Linked DNA regions of Arabidopsis thaliana. The protein of the gene in region 1 interacts with the protein of each later gene in a pairwise test. Each region holds a gene or a part of one and is shown on either strand. Other genes may lie near its edges. The genes, in order: AT5G37890, AT1G12440, AT2G27580 and CHY1.

The links.
Region 2: the proteins of AT5G37890 (region 1) and AT1G12440 interact in a two-hybrid assay, tested with the Arabidopsis thaliana proteins (one large-scale study listed by BioGRID).
Region 3: the proteins of AT5G37890 (region 1) and AT2G27580 interact in a two-hybrid assay, tested with the Arabidopsis thaliana proteins (one large-scale study listed by BioGRID).
Region 4: the proteins of AT5G37890 (region 1) and CHY1 interact in a two-hybrid assay, tested with the Arabidopsis thaliana proteins (one large-scale study listed by BioGRID).

What each region holds. Positions count from the first base shown.
Region 1 is NC_003076.8:15,087,472-15,095,226, forward strand, and holds AT5G37890 (Protein with RING/U-box and TRAF-like domain), read right to left. Parts: upstream 4,485-7,755; 5' UTR 4,352-4,484; coding exon 4,160-4,351; intron 3,710-4,159; coding exon 3,041-3,709; 3' UTR 2,207-3,040; downstream 1-2,206. Other genes in the region: AT5G37900 (TRAF-like superfamily protein), read right to left, coding at 6,432-7,013, 7,188-7,331. UniProt on the Arabidopsis thaliana protein: E3 ubiquitin-protein ligase that mediates ubiquitination and subsequent proteasomal degradation of target proteins.
Region 2 is NC_003070.9:4,239,807-4,246,795, forward strand, and holds AT1G12440 (A20/AN1-like zinc finger family protein), read right to left. Parts: upstream 3,396-6,989; 5' UTR 3,002-3,395; exon of another isoform or gene 2,554-3,001; 5' UTR 2,517-2,553; coding exon 2,010-2,516; 3' UTR 1,615-2,009; downstream 1-1,614. Other genes in the region: AT1G12450 (SNARE associated Golgi protein family), read left to right, coding at 4,690-4,950, 5,148-5,384, 5,487-5,704, 5,807-6,002. UniProt on the Arabidopsis thaliana protein: May be involved in environmental stress response.
Region 3 is NC_003071.7:11,774,502-11,781,241, forward strand, and holds AT2G27580 (A20/AN1-like zinc finger family protein), read right to left. Parts: upstream 3,053-6,740; 5' UTR 2,785-3,052; intron 2,668-2,784; 5' UTR 2,631-2,667; coding exon 2,139-2,630; 3' UTR 1,909-2,138; downstream 1-1,908. Other genes in the region: ATC (centroradiali), read left to right, coding at 1-8; AT2G27570 (P-loop containing nucleoside triphosphate hydrolases superfamily protein), read left to right, coding at 828-1,157, 1,215-1,331, 1,386-1,594, 1,639-1,804; AT2G27590 (S-adenosyl-L-methionine-dependent methyltransferases superfamily protein), read right to left, coding at 3,267-3,468, 3,924-4,042, 4,151-4,631, 4,720-4,826, 5,067-5,276; SKD1 (AAA-type ATPase family protein), read left to right, coding at 6,725-6,740. UniProt on the Arabidopsis thaliana protein: May be involved in environmental stress response.
Region 4 is NC_003076.8:26,374,960-26,383,563, forward strand, and holds CHY1 (beta-hydroxyisobutyryl-CoA hydrolase 1), read right to left. Parts: upstream 4,723-8,604; 5' UTR 4,710-4,722; exon of another isoform or gene 4,659-4,709; intron 4,289-4,658; 5' UTR 4,203-4,288; coding exon 4,173-4,202; intron 4,098-4,172; coding exon 4,017-4,097; intron 3,953-4,016; coding exon 3,884-3,952; intron 3,823-3,883; coding exon 3,759-3,822; intron 3,684-3,758; coding exon 3,604-3,683; intron 3,535-3,603; coding exon 3,451-3,534; intron 3,372-3,450; coding exon 3,287-3,371; intron 3,205-3,286; coding exon 3,119-3,204; intron 2,978-3,118; coding exon 2,856-2,977; intron 2,622-2,855; coding exon 2,561-2,621; intron 2,464-2,560; coding exon 2,365-2,463; intron 2,299-2,364; coding exon 2,197-2,298; coding exon of another isoform or gene 2,173-2,196; exon of another isoform or gene 2,121-2,172; coding exon 2,079-2,120; intron 2,003-2,078; coding exon 1,871-2,002; 3' UTR 1,651-1,870; downstream 1-1,650. Other genes in the region: ZWI (kinesin-like calmodulin-binding protein (ZWICHEL)), read right to left, coding at 1-65, 149-248, 334-900, 977-1,205, 1,296-1,435; AT5G65950 (trafficking protein particle complex subunit-like protein), read left to right, coding at 5,331-5,719, 5,813-5,874, 5,955-6,069, 6,150-6,273, 6,364-6,444, 6,628-6,969, 7,226-7,392, 7,488-8,329 and 1 more. UniProt on the Arabidopsis thaliana protein: Involved in valine catabolism. May be indirectly involved in benzoic acid biosynthesis and in cold signaling and cold tolerance.

The DNA.
Region 1 (7,755 bases):
TGCATATCTACTTTTAAGAGCTATGAAGCATAATAAGGAATTTTGGAAGCTTTTCAGGAAAAGAAGACAAGCAGAAACATTATTCATACGTTGGTGTCGATCGACACCACGTCAGTATCGATCGACACCACGTCAGTACCGATCGACACCCTTATCGACAAGGATATTTCTCACGTATCATAAAGTCTTTAAGAAGTCTAGAAATTTTTCTTATTTGTAAAATAGACCCTGCACGTTTTTACTAACCTATATTATATATATACTAGATATTAACCCGCGGTACCACGGGTGGATATGTTCATTAAAAAATTATAGATAATTTTTTTAAAAATTATTAATTGTATATAAATAATATATTCTTAACACATAATTTTTATTTATGTAAAGCTTCGATAATTCATTTTTATGTTCTCATATTTGTTAGTTAATTATGAAAATTCAATATTTATTTTTATGGTTTGGGTTTTTTAGAGGTAATAAAGATTTAAAACTTGTATTATTATTATTATTATTTTTTAACTTGTATTATTTAGAGATTGACCCGCGGTACATCCAGGGTTGAAATATTTCTTAGAAAATTAGATATTTTATTTTTATTAATATTGTTTATATATATAACATATTCAAGAGGTACATCAAACGTCTATATTTTTATTAAATTAAAAATATTATTATTGTTTTTAGGATGATCTATAGATACATGCTATTGTCTTTTATGTATGATAGTATGATACACCTCTGTATGATTTTTATAACTATTTTTTTTTAGTGTTTAAAATTGTATAATTGTATCATTCCGTATTAATATCGATCCAAACCTATCCCACCATATAACCTCGTCCCGTGAAATTAAACATCATTTTATCATTTTTTTATGAAGTTCGAATAATTATAATATTAGAAACTTCAAAAAAGTTTTAATATGGACCAAACTTCATAATTGTATATTGATTGTTACATATAGGATTTCACCCGTAATATATCGTTCAATATTAATATATTTTTAGTATTTATAATATTTTAACTTCTTATAAAGTTCAAATATTTACAAAATTTACAACTTCATAAAATTTTAAAATTTTTAAATCATTAATATTAAATTTATTTTATAGTTATTAACTTTTAAATTTTCTTAAGAAATTGTAATACTTAACTTTTAATAAATTTTAAATATATATAATATTTTAAAACTTTAAAACTTTTACTTATTTAAAATAAAGAACCGGAGTAAACCGAACAATACTTTTAATTTTGGATGTTTGATATATCAAGGTTCCTTCTCATTCGTATTCAGAATCACTTAAATATTTTTTATAGTATGACTCTTAACGATGTCCCAAATTTTTAAGCAATGTGGGACCTTTAAAACTTTTTTTTTTATCGATGGAGTATTATATGTCTGTTTTAAAAAATTTGAATTTTATCGGATGCAAAAAAATCTAATATTTTATTAAATATATGTATTTTATATATAAACTAAAATAGCTATATATAAAAACAAAGATAATGACAGAAAAATTATATATTTATATTTAATGTTGATATATAGATTTTAGGAAATTAGCCTTAATCGAATATAGTTCAATAAAAAAAAATTTAGTTAAGGATAAAAAATTAGGAAGAGTTGATTCAACTAATTAATGCAATTCAACTAATTGTAAGTTTTTAGTTATAAAGTATTTGATTGAGATTAAATTTGTAAGGACTAATATTGAAAATAGTAAATAGGTGAGGGATTTTTGGTCAAAAACCTTAGCAAAAATATATACATGTAAATATTTTAAGATTATTGTTTAGACCTAAGCAAGTTTTGTGTGAGAGATATACTTTTGGAGAGAAGAATCATATCACTAGCAGAAAAAGAAAAATATTTAACTTAATCTGCGTTGTAGACTTGTCGTATTTTCCTTGTTTAATTTTAAAGTAATAACAAATACTATCATGTATTGTATTGTACACTATTATTTTACAGTTGTCCAACGTGAAGTCACGATATGTTCTTGTTCCTAGATGGGATTCGAAGTCTTGCTTCTTCAAACTTCCAATCGTTAGAAACAAGATCCGGAAAATCCGAAGTCTTGATAATTGAACAGCTCTCCGAAATCAATAATGAACGACTTTCTTTAACAAAAAAACAAAAAGAAAAAAAAAATAATGAACGACTTTTTTATAACAAAGAATATAAAAAAGCTTTCAACTAAAACAAAAGAAAGCTTAGTTGTATTCACAAGTTTTTATATTAAATGGCTGGCTAATATATATATGCAAGGGGAGAAGGAGAAGAAGAATATCACAAAAATCGATCCAAATCTCCATATTAGCAGCCATGAGTTCAATGGGTGTATTTTGTAAGGAGGAAATTGGTGGAAAACCGAATTTGGTATACACATTAACACAAACAGACAACCCAACCTCTTCTGGTGAGGCCCTAACCATGGATTCTGGTGAGGACGATCTCCCTCTTCAACCTCTTTTTTTCTGTCCTATGGGATATAATTATATGTCCATGTATACTTTCTTAATTATATCATCCTCCATATATATATATATTTAACTAACCTTTTTTATAATTCATGATATATACTTGATCTTGCTAAATTATACACACTTTTCAAGAACTACAACTCCAAAACTGAACATATTTTGTAGAACTTCGCTAGAATCCTCAAATCCTCAAAACAAAACTAGTTTTTGTAACTTTTAGAATCTAGTAAAAGGGCAAGTTTCCAACTTCGTTGTTCCTAATACAGAGTTTATAACAAGAAACACCAAAACCTGGAAGAATTTTAGTTATCAAGAAATAAGAATCAGAAAGATGGAAAAATCTTCTTGGAAGACAGGAATCGTCAATGCTTCATAGCAAATGGCCTATGCATAAATTATATCTTAGTTTAGATTGAAAACATTGTGAAACGTTTTGTTGGTCGATTGCACCAAGTCTCTAAAATTACAACCCTCATCAACCATAACGACTATGGGCGGGTTAAGATAACTAAAACGAGACAGATAAGAGTTTTCTAACAGGAAGACCCCAACCTTCTTACTCTTTGTTCAACTTCTTGACGCTAATCCTCATTTCCAACACATCACCACGCAATAAACTGTTGGGAATCAACATGAAATTCTCTTGCGGGGTTTGAAAACTCAACTTAAGAACCCTCTTCACCTCTGGTGATTGGTAAATCACAGTGTGTCCATCGACAGTGTAAGAGAGAGCATATGAGTACTGACTTAATTCTGGAGAAGATGGCGCAATGCAGCTTACAGTTACATACACACCATACGGCTCCCTGAAACACTGCACTGCAAACAAATGATTCGTCAAGTGTTCCGTTCTAATCAATATCTTTTTGCTGATGTTCATCCGGACACTTAAGGGAATGTCACAAATGAACGTATTAATCTGGTTTATTTCCATATGGGTAATACGATAGTGAGTGTACAGATCCTTGTATGAGCTAGTGTAATTGCAATCCAATGCAGGGCAGGCGCAATGAGAGAACATGCATTCCTTTTCATGAGTTAACTCTTTCCCATAAGATACATTCTTTTTGCAACCTAACTTGGCGTTCGGACACGGGATCAAGATCGATTCAAGAACACTCTCCATTGCTCTGCAGCGATTGTGGCCAACAGGCGAAGTACACGCAGGGCATTTGTTATTTAGTTTGGGACAGCAAGAAGAACAAGCCAAATGTCCATTATCACACTGAAATTCAAAACCAATAACTTGTGATCAAAAGCTATAACAACGTCGAGATAATATTCATCGAATCGACCAAGGATAATAGTTCTCTCCCCAAATGATTCTCCCATATAATTCATGATATAGACAAGTTATACACATATTTTCAATAACTATATACAACTGCATACATGAACATAACTTACTAAAGTTCACTAGAATTCTATAAAATCATCACAAGCTAAAGCTTAAGGACACTCTTGAAATCTAGTAACTAGTAAATGGGCACAATTCCAACTTCTTCTCTCTGCAATTTCTTTAACATAACTTTCAAAAGTTCACTAGAATCCTCAAAAGCTAAGGCTACTCTTAGAATCAAGTAAATGGCCACAGTTCCAACTATGTTCAGAGTTCTAACCAAAACAGAAACTTTCTGAAAAATACGAAATGATTCAATTTGAGAAATTACGAAACCTGGAAGATGGGAATTGTGAAAGCTTCGTAGCAAATGGGACAATCGAGAATCTCCAGATCCATTAGCATTGTCGAGCGTTTCTTAGCGTCTCTCTTAGCTGCATCACTAGAAGAAAGTTGTCTCTTTTGCGAGAGAATGCTGTTAGATCCAATTCCTTCGCCGGGAGATTCCAAAATCGCGGCACCAACCATGTCGGAGAGATGACTAAACCCTAAATTCGCTTTTAGTCTTCTCGAAAACTGAGAGAGGCAAATAGAGAATTTAGTTGATTTTGTTCATTGATGGATGGTTTTACAGAGAAAGGAGACAATGGCACAAACTATAGATGATATGGGCTTCGATAGTTCTTCAATTCCCAATTAAGGCCCATATAATATATAAACAATACCTTTTTTTGATAAACTTATAAACAATATCTAATTTTTAAGTCTATTAATATTTACAATATAAAAGAATATAATTATATATATAAAACCATTTAAAAATTAATATTAGTCTTAAAGTTTATGTATTTTTTAATTCTTCAATTCCCAATTAAGGCCCATATAATATATAACAGAAACAATGTCTAAATTTTACAAAATACAATAATAATTATTTATTTAGTCTTAATAGTTTATGTATTTTTTGCTACATTAATTAATAAGCTAATTTTTATTTTTAAAAGTTATGTAGCTTTTATTTATTTTTTTGTCAAAAATGTGGTTTTGAAGTTGGGATTTGGGGCAATCACAAACCACTAGACTAATTTTACCTTGGAAGATTGATAAAAATAGCAAAAAAAAACAATTTCTTCAAAAATAGCAGCTCATTTGAATAGTTCCAAAATTACACTCAAAACTTTAATTAATTATTAAATATTTAATATAAATAACTAATTTAATTAAATAAATAAAATTAAATATTTCTCGCCAAAGATTTTTGTCAAAATTTTCTCACAAAAAAAAATCCGTCAAATGTTTCCCATAAAAAAAATTTAGGAAAGATTATTATACGAAATTTGGGAAGGATTTCACGGAATTCATAAAAGATTTCACAAAAAAATCTTTCCTAAAACTCTTCCTGAATTTTGTAGAATCTTTCTTAAATTCAGGAAATGATTCTTTGAAAGATTCCACGACATAGATGTCACTCCATTCAGTATCAGAGTCCTGACCTCTTTTCTTCAGGTAATTTCTAAATTTAATATATCATAGTGTTGACCTCTATTCCTCAAGTAATTTTCAAATTAAATGTTTAAAAATTCTTTTGATTTTTGGTGGTAGACTGCTAAGATTAAAGAGTCCGATATCTACATGATGAAGATAATGGAGTGCTATACAATGTAAGCTAGTAATTCAAACCTTGAGGAAAATATTATTGGAAACGCAAGGAAAAAATCGGCGGTTGATTCACAGAATTAACAGATATATAGGTTAGTATATGCTTAAACCAATATAATTTCAATAACCATATCGTTTGCAGAATTAACAATTTATGAGTTATATAGTTCATTTTTTTTGAATAGGGTCAATTACTATGCAGAAGTAGCAGATTGCTAATAAAAAAAAAGTTTGTGTTAGCATATTCATAGAGCATTCACCCAAATGATGAATTTGTGTACTTTTTGAATTTTTTTAATTGTTAATTTTAATAATTAAAAATAAAATAATTATTTGAATGCTATTTTGTCCAAAAAATGTTTGAGTGCTATTTTTTTCCAAAAACTTGAAATGGTGCTATTTATGGAAATTTCTATTTTAACTTTTGCTATTATTTTTTCTGCTAAAGATTTAAGAATTTTGGTATTAGCTTTTATATTCTTAACTAATATGTAAAATTGCAGTTAAAACTACCATATTGGAATTCTTTAATCATTGAATCACAATTCACAACTAAATTTTTTCTTCTGCTTTTAGACATCACACGTTCGTACGTTTACTTATAATTAGATTTCGACTAAGAGTAGAATAAAAGATGGAGACCATAATCATGACAAACGAAAGAGCACGCATTACTCCAATTTGGTCATGCATAAAGTATAGCTTAGAAGTTATTAGATTAAAAAACTGTGAAATGTTTTGTTGGTCGATTCCATCAAAATTTCCATTATCACTCTAAATGCACAAAAACGTGTTAAGCAATACCAAACAAATTGCATCAAAGCTGAATCAAGCCGTTAAGCAATTACATCGGATCTTAGTTCGTCAAAACTTATATAAATGTCAGACGAGATAGAGAGAGTAAAAAAATGACATTCCTTCCTTCTAGTTCTATATCACCTCAACATTCTTACTCTTGGTTCGACGTTTCGACGATAGAAAGCTTAATATCCAACAATTCACTACGCAATAAATTGTGAGGTATCAACATGAAATTCTCTTGAGGTGTTTCAAAACTCACTTTACGAACCCTCTTCATTTGTGGTGATCTGTAAACCATAGTGTGTTCATCCACAGTGTAGGAGATTTGATATGAGAACTGTCCAACTTCTGGAGCAGATGGTGCAATGCAGCTTACGGTTACATACACACCACACGACTCCCTAAAACACTGCACTGCAAACAATATTTTCTTCTCATATACCCTTGTAATTTGTATCTTATCGCTGATAAGCATCGGGGCCTTATATGGAATGCTAGATCTAAAGCAGTTAGTGGTCCAGTATGAGTTCGAGATGTGAGTCAGTTTATAGTGATCATAGAGATCCTCGTATCGGCCGGAGTACTCACAGTCCAATGAAGGGCATGAGCATAGAGAGAAAATGCATTCTTCTTCATGAGTTGATTTTTTCCCATATAAGAAACTCTCGGTGCAACCAAACATGTCGTTTGGGCATGTGACCAATATCGATTCAAGAATATTCTCCATTGGCTGATAAAGAAAGCACAAGCAGGGCATTTGTTCCTCAGTTTGGGACAGCAAGAAGAGCATGCTAAATGTCCATTCTCACACTGACATACAAAAAAAAAAACACTGTAAAAATTTCAAGAAAAAAAATATGTATTAAAAGCTGGAAAAAAACAATTTTTAGACAAGAAACAAAACCTGGAAGATAGGACACGTCAATCCTTCACAGCAAATAGGACAATCGAGGATATCAAGATCTAGCAATGTCGCCGAGCGTTGTCTCTTAGCCACTCTCTCCCCTCCATGACCTTGAGATATCAAAGCTTCTAAGGCTCCCACCATGTCACCTAGATATCAATAGTAAAAATATTATCATATTTTCATTAATCAAACAATTTTAAAACATCCTCGACTGATGAAGGCAGAAGAGTTTGTTCGAAACTTTTATAAGACTTCCGTACCAAAAAAAGTAAAAAAAAAAAAGAGTGTTTAAACGCCAACTTTTTAAATCTCAAAACACAAGTCTGATATCTCTTAAACAACGATGGATAGATCTATTTGTAGAAGACAACTTTTAATACATCTCTTAGGAGTGGTAAACACAAATCCAAACTAACTAAGGAAAAGGAAACTAACCAGAAAAAGGAAATCTTGTTAAATACCTTAGAGCTTGAAAACCAAAAACGCAAGGGAAAGCTAGAAGAACACGTGTATGTTCGGTTTTATTTTAATTAGGGTTTTGTGTAAGGGTTGAAGAAGTATTTGA
Region 2 (6,989 bases), on another chromosome or scaffold:
ACTATTCAGTATTCATGTAGGGGCCTTCTTCAATGAGAGACTTTACTAAAGTGAGTTATATTCAAGGAACAAAGAGTTATTTTCTATAAAATATAAAAGGGCACTTTGTTATTTCTCTTTCTAATTTCAGCATTATTTGTTTATTATATTGATCATAGGATTTGGGGAGATATTCTAGACATGTAAAATGTCCAAAATCGAAAATTTATGTTTAAAATCGAAAATTGAATTCATATAAAATTGTTTTTTTTTAGGGGTAAAACTATGAATTACAAAAGGTTATACGACTGATGCAACGTCAGATCATTCGATATTGCATCATGGCCTGAAAGTGGTTTTTTCCAAAGGTTGCAATGTCGCAGTAAGTACTTCATTGTTCCACTATTTTTTCATGTATAAGAAAGAAAAATAATAAAGCCTAAAGCAAAGAAGTACAAAACATGTTTCACAGTTGAAAACTAAAAGTCTACATGTTCATTTGTTAAGTTTTATAAAGAAAACTGTAGTGCACTGCTTTTCTCTCTTTGCTTTTTGTAAATTGGTTGATAAGATCCGAAAAATGGACCCAATATTGTAATGTAACCATCAAGAAGTGAAAGTGAAAGTGAAAGCAACAGTTTACCCACACCAAGGACATATGTTCTATCATTTCATAGTCTACCTCAACTCGTCGGTTGCAGTCTTAAGTTTTGATATCAATTTTTGTTTGTTACAGTTTTTCATAGTTTAGACAATTTAGAAACCGTATTGAAAATCAAATCCAGTTTCATCTAGTGAAATTTCAGATCAAAATCAGTTGTATGCGAAGACAGTATATAAAAAATTTGGATGGATACTTCTTTTATAAAAATAGATCAGATGCAACTAGTGCACTTGATTGTGGATATTGACATTGTTCAATACACACCATTCAAAGATCTGCATTGGCATTGACTATTCCATCTTTTTGCTAAAAACTTTTGATGGGTTACACTTTAAACATAACCCCAACGAGATGAAGATCATACAAGCACAGGGAAATAATCTTATGAGCATCATTGCTAGGGAATATGTATACACAAACGACAGAATGTATTCAATCTACAGTCATCGACTACAACACCGAATATCCCAACTAGTTCAAACAAATCGATCATGGCCAAAACCGAGCCTCAAGTCTTTAAAGTTTCTTAAGCTATCAAAGCATACTGCCACTACCAGGCAAAAATCACTGATTTCGTTCAATCACTGGGCACTATCACCTAAACATCTCTTAATCTGCCATGGTTCGATATAGGTAAACTACTTTGACTACTTCATTGGATCCACCATAAGCTATATAAAAACTCCACTTACTCTAAGTCCCACAACTCTTAAGTGAATCAAACTTTGTCCAGGTAAGAAGAACACTACTTTCTCCAGCTAAGACAGAGAAAGCAAAATCAATGACTCATTCAATCAAGGACACTTAACACCTAAACTAAAGACACATCTAAATCTTCCATGACTCGATAAAGATACCCTGAACAACATCTTCAGCTTCAGAAATTTCAAGCTACATACTTTATCCACCATAAGCTATAATGCTATATACAAACCCCAACTTGTTCGTCCACTATAAACAAACCAGGGGAATCCACCATAAGCTCTATACGACATCTTTAGTTTCAGAACTATCAAGCTACACACTTTTATCCACCATAAGCTATTTACGACCCCCAACTAGTTCATAAGCCTCATAACCAAGAGAATCCTATATCTGCAAACAATTCAACTTCTCCAAGTAAGAAGAAGTAAGCTGGTACCAATAAGAACACAATTTCATAATATAACCAACACTTTATTACAGAACAACAAATCCAATGTTGCAAAACATGAAACCACATAATAGCAGAATCTAAGGCCTTTCCTAAGAAACCCTAAAAGCAAATAAAACCATAATAAGAGCAGAAAACAGAGAGCCAAACCACCAACATCACGAGACTTGAAAATAAAAAAACAAAAGAGAACACAACAGTTTCTTCACCAATTCATATCCTATCAACCTTATCAGCCTTCACCACAGGATTAGCTTTAGCAATAGCTTCTCTCGCAACTCCTTTGAAATCGAATTGGCACTCGTGACTCTCTGGATATCTATGAGTTCCACAGAAAGTGCTTCCACACCTACACTTGAAACCCGTCACGCCAACTTTCTTGTTACAGCTCAAGCATCTCGTAGCCGTCGATTTCGGTGGATCCAACGGAGCAGCAGCCGAATCACCCCCTCTCGTTGATGAGGAAGACGATCCAGATCCGAGGACGCCTTGAGTGATTTCTTGGCTCTGTTGTGGTTGAGTTTTGGGTTTATTAGGGTTTAGAGATTTCTCGACGGCGGCTTTAGCGGAAGCGGTTTGTTCCTCCGTGGCTCGGATGTCTCTGTAGCATTTAGAGCAGAGGTTCATGTTCGATGGAGATCCGAAGAAGCCACATCCTTTGACGCAGAGCTTTGGCTCTGAAGGAGAGAAGCTTGTGCTGTCGTTTTGCTCAGAACCCATAATGGAAAGATCTCCCAATTCCAAAGTCGAAATCTTACTGCAAAAGAAAAGACAACACAAATCGTGAATAACAGATGAAGAATGAATTTGTGACTTTAGGTTTAGGGTTTTTATTTATGATTCCGTCGAGAAAATAAAGGGAAATTGACAATATCGAAAGATTTAGAAAACGGAGATTCTTGGCTTGTTTCTCAAGCGAGAAAGACTAAAATTATTTCTCATTTATGACTAAAATACCCTTGGAACTCTTTATAAAGTCGAAGAGTAAATGCGTCATTTGTCAACACTTAAGACCAGGTCAGCGTCTATCTCACAAAGACCACTTTACCCTTCCGGCGCAAAAAAGGACAAAAAAGAGATAGATAAGAGTTGTTTAATCTTCGCCGTCAAAAACTTAAATCGAATGGTTCAAGAATAGATGAAGGATTCAAACGAAGAACACAAATCTGCATATCGGCACAGAACAAAACCAATAAGATATTTACCTAATTCCCACCCAAAACTCTGCTTTAGTATGTCGGCGACAATTCTCTCGTAAAGAAAATCTCTGACGGTATGTATCACTGAAAATTTCCGATAGAAACTTCGTGATTTGATCGGAGATGGAGACCGTAACCGAAACCTCTTAGCTTTCGCCAGAGAGAAATTAGGACAGAACAGAAACCAGACTCTTTTAGTTCTTTTGCATTTGTCTTTGTGGTCAAATGGTTTATTCATATGCGGTAAGGCGCACGGAAGATTTAATACATCCCTGATAATATTCGTTCGATGAAACAATCGGAGAGTGATGACGCCATTGTTTACTAATCCAACGGTGGTGATTGGAAGTTTTTTGATGAGATAAAGTGGATATAAAATGGGTGGGGTTATCAACTTTTTATGGTGTTTGTGGATTACGATAAAGTTGGTTCGAGTTCGTGAAGATAATCGGTTTTATATGAACCGGGTTTGGTTTGTGGGGACATGCTTAGCTGGTTGGACGGTGACGTAACAGTAGGATAAAGAAAAAAGGTGGCGCGTTTGTCCCGACGCGATTAGTCCATCGCTCTTTTGATTTGATCGGAATGTGATGATATGTTGTTCCAAATGTACTCTTTCTTCCTTGGGCCTTTTCAATTATCTCTTTCTTTTCTTCGCTAAAACGACCGGATTTTAAAAGTGGTCAGGTCTTTTCTCACTGAGTTTACTTGCAAATATCAACATGACTAAATCGTTTTAATTTACGTAAAGTGTTTTGGACACCACTATATCTAATCTTGAGCTATAATTTGTTTATGCTTGTCCTTAAAATCGAGACTAATTCAATTTCCATTTATCTGGTTTGGAAACGACTAATCGAAATCCAAAATCATCGAACGCTATCATTCAAGACGTTATATTAGCAAGCGACTCTCACTCGCGACTGCATCCTTTTTTTTGGATCCAATACTGACCATAAGGTCCACAACCAAATTAAATTTGATATAGTTTGTGAATTGTTTATAGGGTCCATAAGCTTCTTAGTTCTTATGCTCCTCTTTGGTATGGTATTAATACTTCAAAACGTAGCTATCTAATCTATATATCATCTATCGATATGTTCATTTTTACAGGGAGTCTTGTTCTTATATTTTGCTTACAAGTATCAACTTTGGTTGCGTTTCATTCTCTTGTTCGATCCTCTCGTTTTCTTTTATGTTATGCTCCGTAATATATATAAATTGCCTTCAAGCAACTAAATTTCAATAATTAAATATGTTACGTATTTCTTCTGTCAGTACGATGTATGTACGCACCGTAACGGCAAAGCGAAAATAAAGCGCCGGTCTAAAGCAACTCTGCTTACACATTTATCGGTGGTTCGTGACGGAGCAACAGCTATTAGCCACTCATATGTCTCCACATGTTTGACTACGACACCGGTTTAATAAGTTGAAACTAAACCACCTAATTATAAGGATATCATTTTTTAAAAGTTTTTAAAGCTAAGAACGGAAACGAATAATAAAGATTCTTTCTTCTAACCCCATTCGCTCTCTCCGATCAACACAACATTTGATCTAACGGTTTAATTTTCTCGAGAAACCGAAGGAAAACAAACAGAGGTGCATAACGATTCTGACGGAAACTTTTGAGATATTTTTTTTAGAGCCAAAAGGATTCACTTTTTTTGGTTTTATCTTCGCATCGATCTATGACGTACAGCAATGGCGTCGATGGGACGGTGCCTGAGCTGAAATTGAGAGTCGAAGAAGATTCCGATAATGGTGATTATCTGAAATTGAGAGGAGGATCAAATGAAGAAGATGAAGGATCATCGGCGGAATCATCGAGATGTCCGATAGGATCGGTTACTTCTGTCTGGTTCTGGGTGAAATTGATCTCCTTGGTCGTTTGTTTGGGTTCATTGGCCTTTGTTATCATCAAATGGGTTGGTCCCTTTTTGATTGAAAAGGTTCGTTTTTTTTTTGTCTCTCGAAGATCTGATGCTTATTGGTTACATTTGATTGGATTAGGGTATGCATAATGATTCTGGTTTCTGCTGGGTTTTTAATTGTTGAAAATTAGGGTTCTTGAATTACATGTATGAGTATGTGTTTATAAGGAAGGTTATTCATTTATCATCATTAATGTTGGTGTGATTTGTTTCAGGAGCTGATTCCATTTATAAATTGGGTGAGAAACACATTCAGCATACCGGTTCTCGGTCTTCTACTATTTGCCTCAGTGGCATTGTTTCCAAGCATTCTTCTTCCTTCTTCCCCTTCCATGTGGATGGCTGGTCTTACATTTGGTTATGGAAAAGGGTTTCTTCTGATTTTATCAGCTGCTTCCATCGGTGTTACTCTTCCTTTCTTAATTGGACATCTCTTCCTCCACAAGATGCAAGTAAGCATCATCATCCCATACTCTTTGTTCGGATACTTATTATTAAGCTTGTACCATGAGATGATCAATTTGGACTTTTTTTCTTTCTTGTCATTTGTGCAGGAATGGTTGAAGAAATACCCTAAAAAAGCAGCCATACTTAGAGCTGCTGGTGAAGGAACCTGGTTTCATCAGTTTCAAGCAGTCACACTAATCCGTGTCTCTCCATTTCCTTACATCATTTACAACTACTGCGCTTTAGCGACTGGAGTTCATTATGGTCCTTATATCTTAGGCTCTCTTGTTGGAATGGTTCCTGAGATCTTTGTCTCAATTTACACGTACATGCCTCTCTCTCTTTCTCTATGTCTCTTGTCTCAATGTTTAAGGCATGTTCTGCAGAATCTTAAGACTGGTGGTTTTCTGTTTTGGGATATTTGCAGGGGTATAATGCTAAGGACACTAGCAGTTGCATCAGACACGAGACACACACTTTCGGTTGTGGAGATAGTCGTGAATGTTCTTGGCTTCTGTGTAACTGCGAGCGCGACTATAGTCTGCACAATCTATGCGAAGAAGAAGCTAAGTGCGATGCAATCAGAGGACGTAGAGACATTACAAAATCCAATACTTTATTAACTCTTTTCACCATGACCACAACATACCATCATCTAACACGATCTTGAAATTGATAATATATAATGTTTTTTTTTTTTTTTGTTATTCTTATTCATTTGAAAATGAATATTTATGTCTTTTTCTCTTGTATATATGATATGTATCAATTGAATTTTGAAAATTTCCAATGTATATTTATTAGATCATCTAAGTCTTTTTCTTTCCTTGCATATAATCCACCTTATGTATCATGGAACAATGTCTTGTTGGGTTTTGTTCAAAAGTAAAAACAAAAATGATCCATGAAGACTGTGTGTCCTCCTATGTTCCATGAAATTTATGTATCAAATGATCTTTGGAGCTAACTTCGATGCTGAGTGTCAATGATGACGTCATCTGTTTCGGTTTTGTTGACAGAGTAGTCAACGCGAGAACCTCTGTGATGTTTGGGTTTAGTGCCACGTTATTGGGCCGTCGGACCAACTGCGCCAACTTCAATTTCATATGGATAGGTTTGGATCAATTTCATATGGATCATATGATACGTTTGATGTATTTAACAAGGAATAATTTCCTGGCAATTTTTATTACTTGGTCTGAATAATGATGTAACGAGTGAAGAAAATATATAGCGTATCTTAAAATTAAGCATAAGTATTGAAAATCATCGAAAAAAGGAGCAAATCTGGCTTCATATAGTGAAAATATTGCTATGAAAGTCTCTGATAGACCTTAAAAAAAAAAAAAAGCAAACCCGTTTACTATATGAGCCATGTCTTGCACACCAGTCTCAAACCACAATAATATCTTCAAAACAATCAAGAAAGAAATGGAAAAAAAGGAAGAAGAACAAAATGATTAAACAAACTCAGTAAAACAGAGAGAACAAAAGCTACAGAAACAAACAAATAACAGAAAGACGTTTACTTTTGGTCACTCACTTGTCTCTGTCTCTAATTCTCTTCCCTTTTTCTAAAACCCATTAGTTTCCAAAAGTTTGATTTGGAC
Region 3 (6,740 bases), on another chromosome or scaffold:
GCCGTTGAATGACTTTCCACCGCTGCCGCAGCTGCCCTAACTAACTCTGGCTGTGCCCGGACAATATGTGTTGTTCCATGCATTCTATATTTTAGTTACGGGAAACAGCTTTTCCTATCATATTTATGTGTGTATTTGTTATGAACTGTTTGTGATCTGAATAAACTTGGCTTATAATCTCATGCATGGTCTATTTTCATATTGATGGATGTTAATTTTTAGTATTATCAATGTAATTATACCTGATATTCCTTATTTTCAAAATTATGATATAGTTGTATAATGGTAGTCGTCCTTAAGTAATTGGTGGCTGCAAGCACCAAAAATTTGTTTGGACAAATTACCATGATCGCCGTCTGTGGGGATCGAACCCACGGCCACGTGGTTAAAAGCCACGCGCTCTACCACTGAGCTAAGACGGCTTTGATTACTTTCATAAAGTTATCGAAAATCAATCCTATAAACTCATTATTTTATTCATGTTTTGATATACTTTTACTTAACGCAGAAAAGATACTATAAGTCAATAACGCAAAGTTAAATACGAATTTTCTACAACTAAATCGTAACTACGACAACAAATCCTAGCAACCATAAGTCCATAACGATTGACAAATAAACAAACAAGTGTCGATTGAAAACGTTAACAATTGACAAATAAACAAACAAGTGTTGATTGAAAACGTTGCGTATTGCAACAACACAATCATAATGATGATTTACAAAGTGTTGTTCGCTTTAGAACCAAAGCTCCCGTTTCAGATGCTGAAGGCTCGTTGAGACCTCTTATCTCATTCCGCTTCTGTCCTAAACCACAATTTTTGGTAATGGATGATAAAAAAATGGCGGTCAACTTGAGAAACGATGACTTAAGCGAAGAAACAAAGACTCTCATCTCTTCACTACCTTCAGACAAAGATTCCACTGGGATAAATGTTTGTAAGTACCAAGGATGTTGGTATACTCACCACTTTCTCCAAGCTGTCCTCAATTTCCAGAAAAACTTCAAGCCTCAAGACACCAATATCATCGTTGCTTCGTTCCCTAAATGCGGCACGACTTGGCTCAAGGCACTTACATTCTCACTAGTGCATAGATCAAAACACCCTTCTCATGATCATCATCATCCCCTTCTTTCTAACAATCCGCACGTTCTTGTCCCCTAACTTAAAATGAATCTCAATTACTATAGCGAAAAACCGGACCTGACCAAGTTCTCATCGTCTCCGAGGCTGTTCTCGACACACATGCCGTCTCATACGCTGCAAGAAGTGCTTAAAGATTCTACTTGTAAAGTTGTGTATATTTGCAGGAACATGAAAGACACATTGGTTTAATATTGGCATTTCTTTTCTAATGATGATAACGTAAAAACCAGTTTCGAGGAAACGTTCGAGTCTTTTTGTAAGGGAGTCAACTTTTTTGGGCCTTTTTGGGACCAAGTCTTAAGCTACTGGAGAAGAAGCTTGGAAGATCCAAATCATGTCCTTTTCATGAGGTTTGAGGAGATGAAAGCAGAACCTCATGAGCAGATCAAGAGACTTGCTGAGTTCTTAGATTCTCCTTTACTAAGGAAGAAGAAGAGAACGGATTGGTGGATGAGATTATAGATCTTTGCTCTCTACGTAATCTAAGCAGTTTGGAGATCAATAAGACCGGAAAATTATGTGAAGGTAGAGATAACAAAACATTTTTCCGTAAAGGAGAAGTCGGTGATTGGAAGAACTATTTGACTCCTGAAATGGAGAACAAAATCGACATGATCATCCAAGAGAAACTTCAAAATTCTGGTTTGAAATTCTGAGTTTGTGCTTTTCTCCAATGCATTGTAATAAGACTACCCTATGTTGTTGTCATGCTTTTCTCTGTTCTACATATTGGCTAATGGCTAATGTAATGACGAACCAATCAACCAAATCCAAATTCTACACATTGATAATACGACTTAAGCCTTCTACAAGATCATCAAACGGAACAATCAAATCAATAATAAGCAAATTTAATAACCAAACTGAAGAAATCATCAAATAAAGCTTAAATTTACATTGACATGTTTGTTTCTTGCTCTTTCTTCTTCATGTGTGTTTCATTCAAACGCACAAAACCAAAGCAACAACAACAAACAACAAACAACAAAGTCAAATCTTCTCAAGCTTATCAGCTTTCACAATCGGATTCGCTTTAGCGATCTTATCCTTCCCCATCCGCTTGAAATCAAACGAACATTCATGTTGCTCCGCGTACCTATGCGTCCCGCAGAAAACGAAACCACACCTACACCGAAACCCCGTGATTCCCACGCGCCGCCGACAAGTCAAACACCGCTTCGGATCTTGCGGCGGACCATCCGCCTCCTCCGGTTCAGCCGCCGCTCGTTTCTCTGATTTCGCTTCAACGATTTCTTTCGAATCAGCTGGAGGCGGAGGCGGTGGCGACACGGAGGAAGACGCAGCAGCGCCAACGGCGGCTAAGGATTGGGTAAGAGCATGTTTGGCGGTGGAAGAGTTTTGTTCTTGATGTTGAAGATCTCGAAAACATTTGGAACAGAGATTTTGTGTAGCTGTGCTTCCGAAGAAGCCACAATTGTTAGCACATAATCGTGGTTCTTGAAGTCTGTGTTCTTCCGCCATAACAGAATGGATCAAAACAAACTCCGGCGAAAAAAATCTACAAAATTAACCGATCGATGGAATCAAAAATCAATAGATCTGTTGCTTAAATCTCATCAAAACTATAGAACAGAAAGAAAAAACTAATGGATCGGCGAAAACAACAAGTCATTACCTGGTGAAAAAAACGATTTATTAGATCTGTTCGAATCGGTGATGGTTCTAAGAAGAGAGAATCTGTATTTTTATAAGAAGAGAGAAATCAATGGAATATGGAAAGAAAGAAAGGAATCGAGAGATGAGAAAGGAAAGAGATGAAGAATTATGAGGAAATGGGAAAACTAACGACGACGCAATCGATACAAAATTAAATTGTTATTTTACTCTTTTTTTTGTTGGCCGTAAGATGGAAATTGGACAATTTGTGGAAAATGGTGTTATTTGGCTTTTGGGCTAGCGTTGAAGATTCCAGAAGCACCTACACTATTCATTTTAACAATTTTGTGCTTGATAATTGAAATCATGAGACGACAAAAAAATAATATTGAAATCATGAAACTAAACCAGTGCGTGTCAGAAATAAATACTAGATGTAAAATCGACAAAGGATCTGAGTTAAAGGGCTAGTGTCTTTTGATCAAAAGATAGAAAGCATAACTAGAGGCTGACCGCAACAATGTAAGCATTCCAAGAATCACACTGTTGAAAGCTCTTGACTTGTTCGTACTTGATATCACGTCCAGCACCAAACCCATCTGTTCTACGCATTTCAGAAGCGTCCGGCATTTCTCTGAGCCAGAAATGGACTGAGCTAAACCCAGCTTCCTCCATACAATCCTTTATCTCCGGCAATGACCACCTACACATATATGAACAGCAGATCCAGGAGTTACTTCTCAGGAACTTAATGATTCAAGAGTGCAAGTACAATAAATCTACAGACAATAAGGAAAGCAGGAATATTGTCTTGCCCGAATATAACATTCAATATCATTTCACTGCTACTTACCAGCCAACACAAGGATAAGTCACTAACATATGAATTTAGATATCAGTAACATTCGAGCACATGTTTGTGTAAGTTTTGATCCATAGTGGCTGCACTACAGAATCTCTACCTCACCCAGCCAACCAAAATTACCAAAAGCCTACACTTATCAAGTTATCTAAAATGCTAAGCAAACCCCTAAGTACCAAATATGCTTCGTTTTTTTGTAACTGTAATATTTTCTTAAGGCTTGTGGGAGATTGTGGGTAATGACTGTCCCACTTTGAAGAAAGAATGGATGTGGAAGTAGACTACAGGACACTTACAGTCTCCAGCTATATGAAAAAGCATGGCGAATCTTTCTGTTCTGCTTCTGAAGGTGATAGTGCAGACTGATCCTTGTCTTGCGGCTTAAAATATCAAACTCAGCCTGCTCCCATGTATACTGCCAAATGAATATGGACAATCGTTAGTACGGTTATCTCTAGTAAGTTCGATATTTATGGCTCTGACACCCTTTTTTACCGAATGAAGTACAAGAATGAACTATTACCGTGAAATTAGGGAATTTCCGTTGAAGCTTCAACTGTCCCTCAGCAGAAGCACCTCCATATAAATCCATCACGAAGATACCACCTTTCTTAGACAAAGCGTCACGTGCATTCTTGAAGTAAGAAACCAACTCCGAGCGTTTGTGGAGACAACAACAACTAAAATTAAAAGCACACACAATATCCCTCTTTGGCAACGAATCAGGTCCATCTTTCTCTAAAGATTCGACAACACTCGGATCAGCCAAATCTTCATTATCATCACCATCATCCAAGCTGATATTTTGTATCAGCTCATGGGATTTAGATTTCACTTGCTTAGCCTCAAGAGGAGTTAAAACATTCCCATGGAAAAGCGACATTCTTGAATACACGTCAGAACCAAGTTTACTAATGTTGTTATCCATACACCATTCTAACGCCTCAAGATCAAAATCAAGCCCTATAGCAGTCCGTCTAGTGTCAGTCTTCAGCCACTCCGCACTATTCCAACAATCAATGTAAAAACTTATTCAAGCAAGAAAACCAAAAGCTACATTATTTTGTACCATTTAGTGAAACACACAACAACCTTAAAAGAGCAGTGCCGCAGAAATCTTCTTGGAAATGGAAAGGTTGTCTTCCACCAACATACATTAAAAAGAACTTCTGCAAGTAACTTATGTCTCCTTTTGGTGACTGCAACAAACAAAAAGCAATGAAAAGACAAGAACAACAAATGTTAAAGCTTAGTGCTTGATGATAGAACAAGAACAGTGAAACACAAACAATACAATTTGTTAAATCTTAGTGCTTCTTTATACAAGAGATACAGAGAACTCTCTCCCTAAGAAAATTTAAGTACTTTTAACTGATTTCATAAAACCAGTAAGAACCACTCAATGAAACTTAGAAGGCCAAGCACAGAATTGCAGTTACCTGAACGGATTGTTGGTAAAGGAGAAACTTTGAAGGCAAATCCGATGATTCGTTTCCATCATTTTCTTCTTCTTCTTCGTCAGAGTTTTCTTCATCTTCTTCGTCGACGGAGGCAACAGCCGGCGGGTGTTGATCGTAGAAATCTTCAGCATCATTCGAATATTCACCTTTGTGGCGACGTCGATTAGGTTTTTTCTCTCGTTTCCCCATTTGTCGTCGTTCTCAGTCCAAATTCTCAATCCAGAGAATAGAGCAGAGCAGAGCAGTCGAGGAAGAAGAGAAAAGCGTTGACTTTGTGTTTAGTGTGTCTTTAGACTGAAGAGTGCCCTAAACTATGCCACGTAGGCCCTATTGCTCTCGGTTTAGTGTTTTTTTTGGGTCAAATACCGGTTTTTAGTGGTTCGGATGGTATTTATCATGTGGGGTTTTTTTTTTTTTTTTTTTTACTATGGTTTAGAAAAACTTGGTTAATTATCACCTAAAATAGTGTTTTGGTGTTTCGTTGGAGATGACTAGACGCATAGGTAACAAATAGTACTTTGAAAATCTCAATAGATCTTGCAATGATCTCCTCTTATTATAAGTTTATGATGGATAATGTATTTCTTACTTGAAGATATGTGTTTCTTGCCAATAACTATTGATTATCTTGTGTTTAAGACAATAATATATTACCATTTTTGTATTGCCTAATCGCTTCCACACTAATGAACATATTCTTTGAACTTGAAAATTTCCTTTTTTCTTTAATGCATTGTCAACTAGTGAAAAATTCATTCGTTCGTTTTATCATTGAGACATAATCAATAATCTTGCTAGTTGGGTATCAATAGAACCTGTTCGCTTTGGTTGACAATTACGATTCGCTGCTGAAACTCCGGTCTTTGCGTTTGCAATGTGCACAAGTGACTCCAAATGTTTTGAATGAATAAAAGGAATGTCCTTTCTGCAACTTAAATGTTCTTTGTTGCAAGTTTAATTTTGGTCACTATTTTTTGCTACAATTGCATTCAAAGTAGATTTACTAATTTGTGTTGATGTTAAGGTTTGTTTTTGAAATAATATTTCTAGTTTGTTTTCTTAAGGTTGATAACAAGAAAACTTATCATGGTCATGCTTTATATTGTCACTATTTGAATTTTTTTTCAAATTTGCCTCCTATTAGAAGGACCTTGTACTTAATATATTTGAATGGTGGGATTTTGATGTATCTCTCTACGTGGATTTTTTTGTTTTTCTTCTGCTTTTTAATACAATTTGTTTTCTTTTTCAAACCATTTAATACAAAATTATTGGAAAAAATAAGCATATATTAAAAAACGGCAAGCGTTTTCGTTATCATTCATCAAAACATTGAGCCAATTCTTCACAACTTCCAAAAACGCCTCACCGTTTCATTCTTCTACCAACCTACGCTCCGCTGTTTTCAAGACCTTTTCGTCTTCGTCGTCAAATCTAGCTTTTTTCTTCATCGCTTTGCATAATCCATTCCTTCTTCTCTCTTCTCCATCTCCTTCCTCCGATCTTCGTCTCCAATTCGGAATCTTCCTATCACAATTTCAAGGCTCCTTTAACCCTTGATCATCACCGATTCAATCAATTCGGAATCACAATTTCAAATCGAGAGAATTTCAATTTCTCTTGTAAAACCCTAAATTATGTACAGCAATTTCA
Region 4 (8,604 bases), about 11 Mb from region 1:
AATAGCTTTAAATTCTGCGAGGAGATCTCCAATATACTTGTTATCATCCAATCCTATATATTCCTCTGCAAGTGCACAGATAGAAAAATGATCGATAATGTTGTATTACTTCACAATATATGACGAAGCCAGTCATATGAAAGCATACCATTTCCGGGATCAGATGATTTAGAACTTGAAACAACTTTACGACATTCAAACAAACTAAAGCTAGAGAAAGCTGATAGTTTAATTGTTCCAGCTAGCTCCTGAAACAGATGTCAATGCAGTGAGAGAAAAAGGGACAAGAATATGATCAGCGGTAAATTATGAAAAAAGAAAGCAAGAAGATACCTCAACAGCATCAGACACTGTGGTAGCCATGTCATATGAAATTTCTTCAAAAGTTTCATCGAGAAAGAAGACAATGGTTGTGAGCTTTCTACCGGTCAAAAGGGCTTCAATTTCTTCACGACCAGGTGTGGTGTGCCTAGGACCAGCTTTGATAGAGCGCTTTAAAGCTTTCAAAGTGTTAACAGCAAGAACCTGAGCATCCGGTTCAATAGTTGCATCGTGTGCGACATTATGAATATACTCAGATAGATATCCACCGATATCTTTGCTAGGAGGCATAGAGGAGGCACATAAGTACATCAATTCCCAAGCTTTGATCAAGTATTGCCTGTCAGGATTATGTCTAGTCTGTTTGGAGATTTGGGCAAAAAGTTCGTCCCTGAGTTCAACACGCTTCAAAGTTTTTTTGAAGAGCTTTCCAACGAGGTCAATGCGTTCATCTAAACTGGGAGGCGTAGATCGATCAGATGAATCAACACCCATATATTTTAAGATGAGATGAAACAACTTGGTAGCACGGCTGACGAGATCGCTGTTAATCTTGAGGAGAGATGTGGGGATTGGATCCTGAAGGAAGGAAGGGGAGAGAGACATATTCAGTCAATGGATTGTCAATGGGGAAGAAAGGGGGGGAAAGAAAAACCTTTTGAAAGCAAAGCATATCCTCAAATGTGAAGCGCTCGCGGACATTGGAGCCAGAGGACTTTTTGGAATAGAAGAAGCCACGCTTCCCAGCAGACTGGATTTGTTTCTGCATTAGCCGCAGAAAAGCTTCAACCTGGAAGCGATCGATGAGGGGAATGGCGGCGGCAAGCTCCGCAGGAATTGACAATGCCACTTGAGGAGCTGGGGAGCTGTGACAGAGCGAGAGACTAAGAATGTTTTCAAATTTTCAAAGAAGAAGGATCAACAGAGACAGCAGCAAGAGAGTGAATGTTTTTAAAAATTCAAAGAAGACTTACAGAGGAGGAAGAGAAGACGACTCGGCATCGAAATCGGTTCCAGAGGGATTGGGAACATAGAAGCAAGAAGAAACGTCGGTGGCGACTTCGGTGCCATTGCCAGAGCTCAACGAAGAATTACTGCCTCGTTGGCCCTCCATACCCGAAGAAAAAGAGAGATTGTAGTAGATCTGATGAACAAATTTGCCCCAGAAATTTGGGCAGAGGGAGAGAGAGAGATGGGGAGACGAGAGTCACGGGAGATTTTTAATTGCCTCTTCTCATTCAATACTTCACGATTCACCTGATTTTCTAATTATTTTTCGTTTTCAGAAGATGAGACCAAGGAGGAATCTCAATCAAATAAATGAACAATGACTATAGACGTGCTTCCACGTCCGTTTGCCATGGTTGTGCCTCCAACACCATTAACAAATCTTAACACAATTCTGCTCTGCTGCTTTGGTGTCAATTCTCAAATACAATAATGATTTATGTAATGTATGCAAGTCCTATTCAACACAAGTGTTGTTACATTTATTTTCTTTTTTCTTTCCCACAGACGTAAACAATAGTGCTCCATCACCTTCTCCACTTCACAGCTTTGCGATCCCTAAAGCAGGCAAGTTATTCCTTGGCGGAAGCTTTAGATCATCCTCCCGTTCCACTCTCTCGAAGTACTGCTCCACCATGCTATCCTTCATGTCCTCCAGTCGCCTTGGCTCCCACTATAATTTCAGATATTGTTATCAACAATGTCACATATTACCAACCACAAATAACAAATGGAGAGACTTGTTAAACCTTTGGGTTCTTATCTTTGTCTACCAATATGGCTCTGCACCCCTGCATAAGTAAAGACACGCTGTTGTAACTACGGTCTACAACAAAGACGGTTTCAGATGGAAAAAGCTTGCAAAACCTCCACAAAATCTTTGCTGATTTCTCCCTTCATCACATGACACACCATTCTATACTCGCGGATAAGACACTGCCCCACCCCCTGCAATCGCCCTTCCCTTATCTGAAATATATACTCACAGTCAGCTCTTTGTCAACATTGCCTGTGATGCACATTCTGGGAACTAACCGATCTAAGAGAGATTTTAAGGCTTGCTGGTGAACCCTTCTTCAATGCTTGAATGGTAGCTGAGATCCAACCATCTGCTTCTTGAGTGGCCTCTCTCTCCTAAGCAACACATATGATGGTAGAGTGCGTTGTCAAAGGTAAATCAGTCAACTCAGGATCGCAAGTCAACATCTCTATATATAAATGAAAAGCTTACAAGTGCAGATATAATTTCTTCGACTGTTCTCCTTGAGAAACACCTATCAATAACATCTAACCTGCGCAACAAACGGGGAGATAAAAAATAACTGTCCTCTGCACTTTTATAAATTTTCAATTAAAGATCAGATGAGAAATGAGTTCTGTAAAGAGCGATTGAAAACCTGACAGCAATACGAAATTGAAATTATAGAAAAAATGTGTTATAATCATGGTCAATAACCGAGAAAATGTAATCAGGTAAAACCATACTAGTAGAAAGAGTAAAAGAGATAAAAATCATATAGACTTGCCTGCGGTAAGCACTCTGCTGTTTCAGGCGCGGATGCTGGGTGTATGCATCGAGAATTGTTGAGGCAAAAGTTGGATCATTTGAATTAATTCTGCAAAGATCTGCTTCTAATGCAGTCAACCTCTGTGGAAAGGAGTAAACCTAACTAAGTAGCAATCCTTGGTGAAGCAGATAGTGCTTGACACTAGTAGCTATACAATATCTGATGTGTAAAGTCAATTCAGAATGTCTTACGAAATAGACGCACGCAAAGGAAGTTCATACCGTTGAAGGCACAAAATGAGTTGCAAGGCCACAAGCAAGCATTTCAGCACCATCTAATCTAGCTCCTGTGAGGCCAACATACTCCCCTGAACAAAAAAGACAAGAAAGCATTTTCAAACTTTGGTGGCTTTAAGAAGATGCAAAAAAAGGAAATATAGCTTCTGTTACCAAAAAAACCAGGGAGCCTTGACAAGAAGTAGGAGGCGCCTACATCTGGAAAGAGCCCCAGAGCTGTCTCAGGCATGGCAAAAACCTTGGAGAAAGTCGAAAGATATGAGCATATTTTGGAGCGACCTATTTGTCATCCATGGACATGTTTAAGGAAAGATTACCGTGTTCTCAGTTGCAATACGAAATCGACCATGGACGGATACACCAGCTCCGCCTCCCATGACGATACCATTCAAGATTGAAACCTATACGAATTGATGAGTTTATCCACTCGGGAGTGATTTTACAAAAACAAAACGAAATTATAGCGAGACCTGAGCTTTGCTATATGTGGCCATAACATAGTTGAGCATGTATTCAGATGAGAAGTAATTGGCACCGAGTCTCCAGTTACCTAGTCAACGAACGAAGATAGAGAAAGAGTGTATAAAAGCTGAAAGTAAGAAACAGAAAAGAATGGGTGGTAAACCTTGATTGATGTCACGAACAACAGCTGCAACATCGCCACCAGCACAAAAGGCTCTCCCATGACCCTGTGGCAAAGTTATTCAGTACTAAATGTGTGTAAGCGGAAGAGATAAGGATAATGATTACCTTTAGGATGACAAGTTTCACACTAGGGTCCTCCTCAAATGCAAGGAACAGTTGCAGCAATCGAGAGATCTACAGAAAAAAATGAGTCTAAGCCAATACAGTACGCATGTACAAGAAGGGAAATATTCGATACCATGTGGAAGGACAGAGCATTCAGCTGCTTTGGTCTGTTTAGTGTCAAGATTCTAACACTCGATTTCTCTTCCACCAAAACCTGTGATCATATTATTAATTCAGAGAGCGAAGAATTGATCGTCGTAGATTCGGATTAAAGACGCAAGAAAGAGACCTGAGACTGAGAGGCCATCTCGACTGCCATCTTTCTTACTGGTCAGATTCGCCTTTGTATCTCCGGAGAGAGGAGCAGCAATGGGATCAGAAATTACCACTAATGGCTAACAAAATCTTCACCCGCTTAGTTTAGGAAGTTGATATTGGGCCTTATAGTAATCTGTTGGTTTTAATAATGGGCTTTATTTTGTTAATAGAGCAAATGGAACTTTGCTTTTCAAACTCAATTTCAAAGCCCTCTTGCAACATGCTTGATGAATGAGAAGATTATATGTTTTTATCGAGTACGTTAGACATGTGTTTTTTTTGTTAGGAAGCTAGTTTTCCAACTAACCAACACCTCCCTCTAGCATAAAATGACACGTGGGCACCAGATCAATCATTAAAAAAGTCTTCAAAAATTCTCAACAACCACTTCTAAAAGTCAGACATGAAAGCCCTCGCCTCTCGATATATAGATAATTTGCATATACATGAAAACTCAACAATCTGACGCATATGCAACAGAGTTGAAAGATGGAAAGAGCAAGGATACGATGGCCGAGTGGAAGAGGAATTAGGCTGAGGCAGAAGACAAAGAGACTGCGTGCGAGAGTGAGAAGCTTTTTCAGGCTTCTCAGGAGCTGGTGCTGCAGAAGGCCTCCGCTGGTCAGAGAAGACGGTCTTGATTACACATCTATACGTCGCTCTAACTCTTTCTACGCCGATGCAATTGCAGACTGCATTGACTTCATCAACCGCTCCTCCGCTTGACAGCTTCTCATTCTCTTCCAATAATTCTTTCTTCCATTTTGTAAAATCCAATGTTTCTGTATATGCAACCAATTCGAATTCTTTGTATTATTTTATTTTTTTGACGAGTCGATGCATCTTTAAGAAGTGGGCTTATAATGGGCCTGATGATACTACATCCTTAGAAACCACATTAGTTTAAATCAGATCTGACAACTGCAGTGGTTCATACCCTTAAAGATTAAAGGCCCGTTGAAAACCCATTAAGTATTTCACATCATATTCTGGGCCAGATGAACAATCTGACAGCTATACAAGTCCATTCCCTTATCCAAAGGCCCGTTAAAAGCCCACGTAAAATGAATGTGTCAGATCCTTCCTTGCTCGATTCAACGCGTCCGAGTCTCAGACACTCCCCGGCGAGATGGAGGAATACCCGGAAGAGCTCAGGACGCCACCGGTAAGTCTGGTGGCTCTCTTCGGATACGCGGAGCTACACGCGTCCATTACTAAGTATCTCCACTCCCAGCAGCCTCCCATCAACGCTCTGGCCTTCCCCGACTTCTCTCAAATCTCTCTCCTCCTTGCTCATGATGATCAGATCAGCCGAACCTCCTCCTTCAGAGATCCTCTCAGCGTCTCCGATTCTGCTTCTCCCATTCCTTCCAGATGCGGCGGTATTTTGAAACGGGACTGGTTGCTTAAGCATCGCACCAAGGTCCCTGCACTTGTCGCCGCCTTCTTTCCCTCACATCACATCTTCGGCGATCCAACTCAATGGCTACAGGTCTGCTCCGATCTCGACAGCCTCAAGTATTTCCTCATCTCCCTTTATATTTGTTTCCTTGTTTCCCCTCCTTTGTTTCAAACCCTCAAATTAACACTGCGATCTCAATTGCTTGCTAGATCCGTAATCCGTCCCAAAAACATCAAACTGGTGGTTGTCGTGGTCCAGTCTTCTCCCCACGGTAGCGCATTTTATCCGATTATTCTTTTCATTTTCCTCTCGGAACTACTGGTGACTTACTCCTTCCCGACTTGTTTTTAGAGGACATTAGCGACGATCGTCTGGTGGCATTGCGAAAGCGGGCAGAATTAGATTCTAAGTACGTGCTCTTCTTCAATTCCAGCATAGTCTCTGAACTCACGCTCTCTCTCTCCAGGTATGTTTCTCTCCTCTTTTACTTTGCACCTAGAACAAGAGGCTTTTCCTTCAATGCATCTCAACACGGTATGTTTGCAGACTCGCTTCTGCTTTTGCAGAGTTGGCACTTTCTTATTACAGAGAAGAAGGACGGAGAATCAAAAGCCGAATTGAGAAAAGGAGTTCCAATTCTCTTGATTTGAATGTTCGCTACTGTTTTAAAGTAAGCTTTTCTCGTTACCTCTGCTAAGTCTAATCATTTTGTTCCAAAGTATCTGGGAAAAGGAAGGCTCATTCATGCCATGACTGCTAGGTCGCTGTATATGCAGAGTTTCGTAGAGATTGGGGTGAAGCACTGAAGTTTTATGAAGACGCATACCATTCCTTGCACGAGGTCTTTATTATCTCTAAGTATTTTGTTTTTTCCCAACCCATCTGTCACGCTAATATGTATTCTGCTTCTAGTCAAGAAGTTCCTTTTGATGCATATATGGTCATTGCTTTCTTATTATTACATATCTTTGCCTGCGGTTTCCACACATTCAATTTCGACGAGCAATTTTGTTTATGCAAACAGATGATCGGGACATCGACTAGGTTGCCTGCAATACAACGCTTGGTCGAGATCAAAATCATAGCTGAGCAATTGCATTTCAAGATATCAACGCTTTTGTTGCATGGTGGAAAACTCATAGAAGCAGTGACATGGTTTCATCAACATAAAACATCATATGAAAAGGTTGTCGGATCCACAGAATTTATTTTTCTCCATTGGGACTGGATGAGTAGGCAGTTTCTTGTCTTTGCTGAGTTGCTGGAGACAAGCTCAGCAACTGGTCAGAGCTTAACATCCTCAAACCAAGGAACTGCGGAAATATCTTTGACTGAGTTTGAGTTTTACCCTGCCTATTATTATCAGGTCAGTCAATTCTGCTCTATGTAACACATAGTCGGAACATATCTAAACTTGGTGGTGCATTTTGTGTTAAATCTTTTCTGTGTCTTTTACCATTTAGTTAAAAACAATACTACATAAACTTAAACACCTACCTCTAAGCAAATGCTGGATTTTTCGTCCTCTTTCTCATAAATTTCTGAGCTGTCTGTTCCTAGGTACAGTATGTTGAAAATATAATATGTTCTTATCCACTGGGAAATTTTCGTTTTACACGCAGTTGGCTGCTCATTACTTGAAGGATAAGAAATCTGCCCTGGAACTGTTGTTGTCAATGTCTGAAATAGCTCAAGAGATTGATAGCAGCTCTGCATCTATTACTCCTTCAGTCTATGTGGGTCAGTTCGCTCAGTTGCTTGAGAAGGGAGAAGCTATTACACTTCACTCGTAAGTTGTTCATAATTCATCCCACAAATCTATGTAAAAGAAAACTAATTATGCTACCACCATCTCTAATAGTATGAATTCTAATGTATTTGCAGTATAACGGATGAAGAGTACACACGGTATACAATTTCAGAAGCAAAGAGAGTTCAGGATTCCCTTCAAATTATTGCTTGGCTGAAGAGATCTTATGAATCATTTACCAACCTTAAAGCCCAGAGGATGGCTGCTCTTTGTGCCTTTGAAGTAGCCCGGGAGTACTTTGATTTGGCTGATCCCAACAACGCAAAATTCTTTTTCGATATTGCTGCAAACTTGTACAGACAAGAAGGTTGGGTAACTTTGCTCTGGGAGGTGTTGGGTTACCTGCGAGAGTGTTCGAGAAACCTTGATGCTTTGAAAGATTTTGTAGAGTTTTCACTTGAAATGGTTGCCCTGCCTGTAACATCTTATGAGAATTCTGGGAACTTAAGAAACAAAAATTATGGTCCTGGAGGTCCTGCAACAATTTCAGGAAGAGAAAGTATACATCAAGAAGTTTTTACTCTTGTTTGTCGTGAAGCCGAGCTGTTATCATCTACCGAAGGAAGTGGGTTCAAATTAGCCACTGATAGCCCTCTTCATCTCGAGATTGATCTTGTCAGTCCTCTGAGACCTGTTCTCCTAGCTTCAGTTGCTTTTCACGATCAAATGATCAAGCCTCACGCTTTGTGCTCTTTTACGTTGTCACTACTTTCTCATTTACCTCTTCCAGTTGAAATAGATCATCTAGAAGTTCAGTTTAATCAATCTACATGCAACTTTGTCATCAGAAATTCCCAGAGGCCTCTGTGGGCTTCGGCGTCTAACACTGTGAAAAGTGGTAGCCAAGTGGAGAATGCGCCATTGCTGGTGCTTGTGCCGAATAATTGGTTAAGGTTGACATATGCAATCAAGTCTGGTTAGTGTGATTTAATTATAAGGGTGTTGTTTGTATCTAACACACTTTGCACGTATTGCAGTTATTCATTGAAATTCAAACCTGTTTTGGACGTTTTCGTATTCTCAGTTACCAATTAGCAAAACTGAAGCTTCAGAACTTGTATCTATCTTATGAAAGCAAAAGGGAAGTTGTTTTCTTGGCTGCCTAACTTTTCACACATTTCTTTGTTTCATCTGCAGAGCAAAGCGGCAAGCTTGAGTGTCTTTCAGTTCTTGCAAAATTGGGGCCTCTTT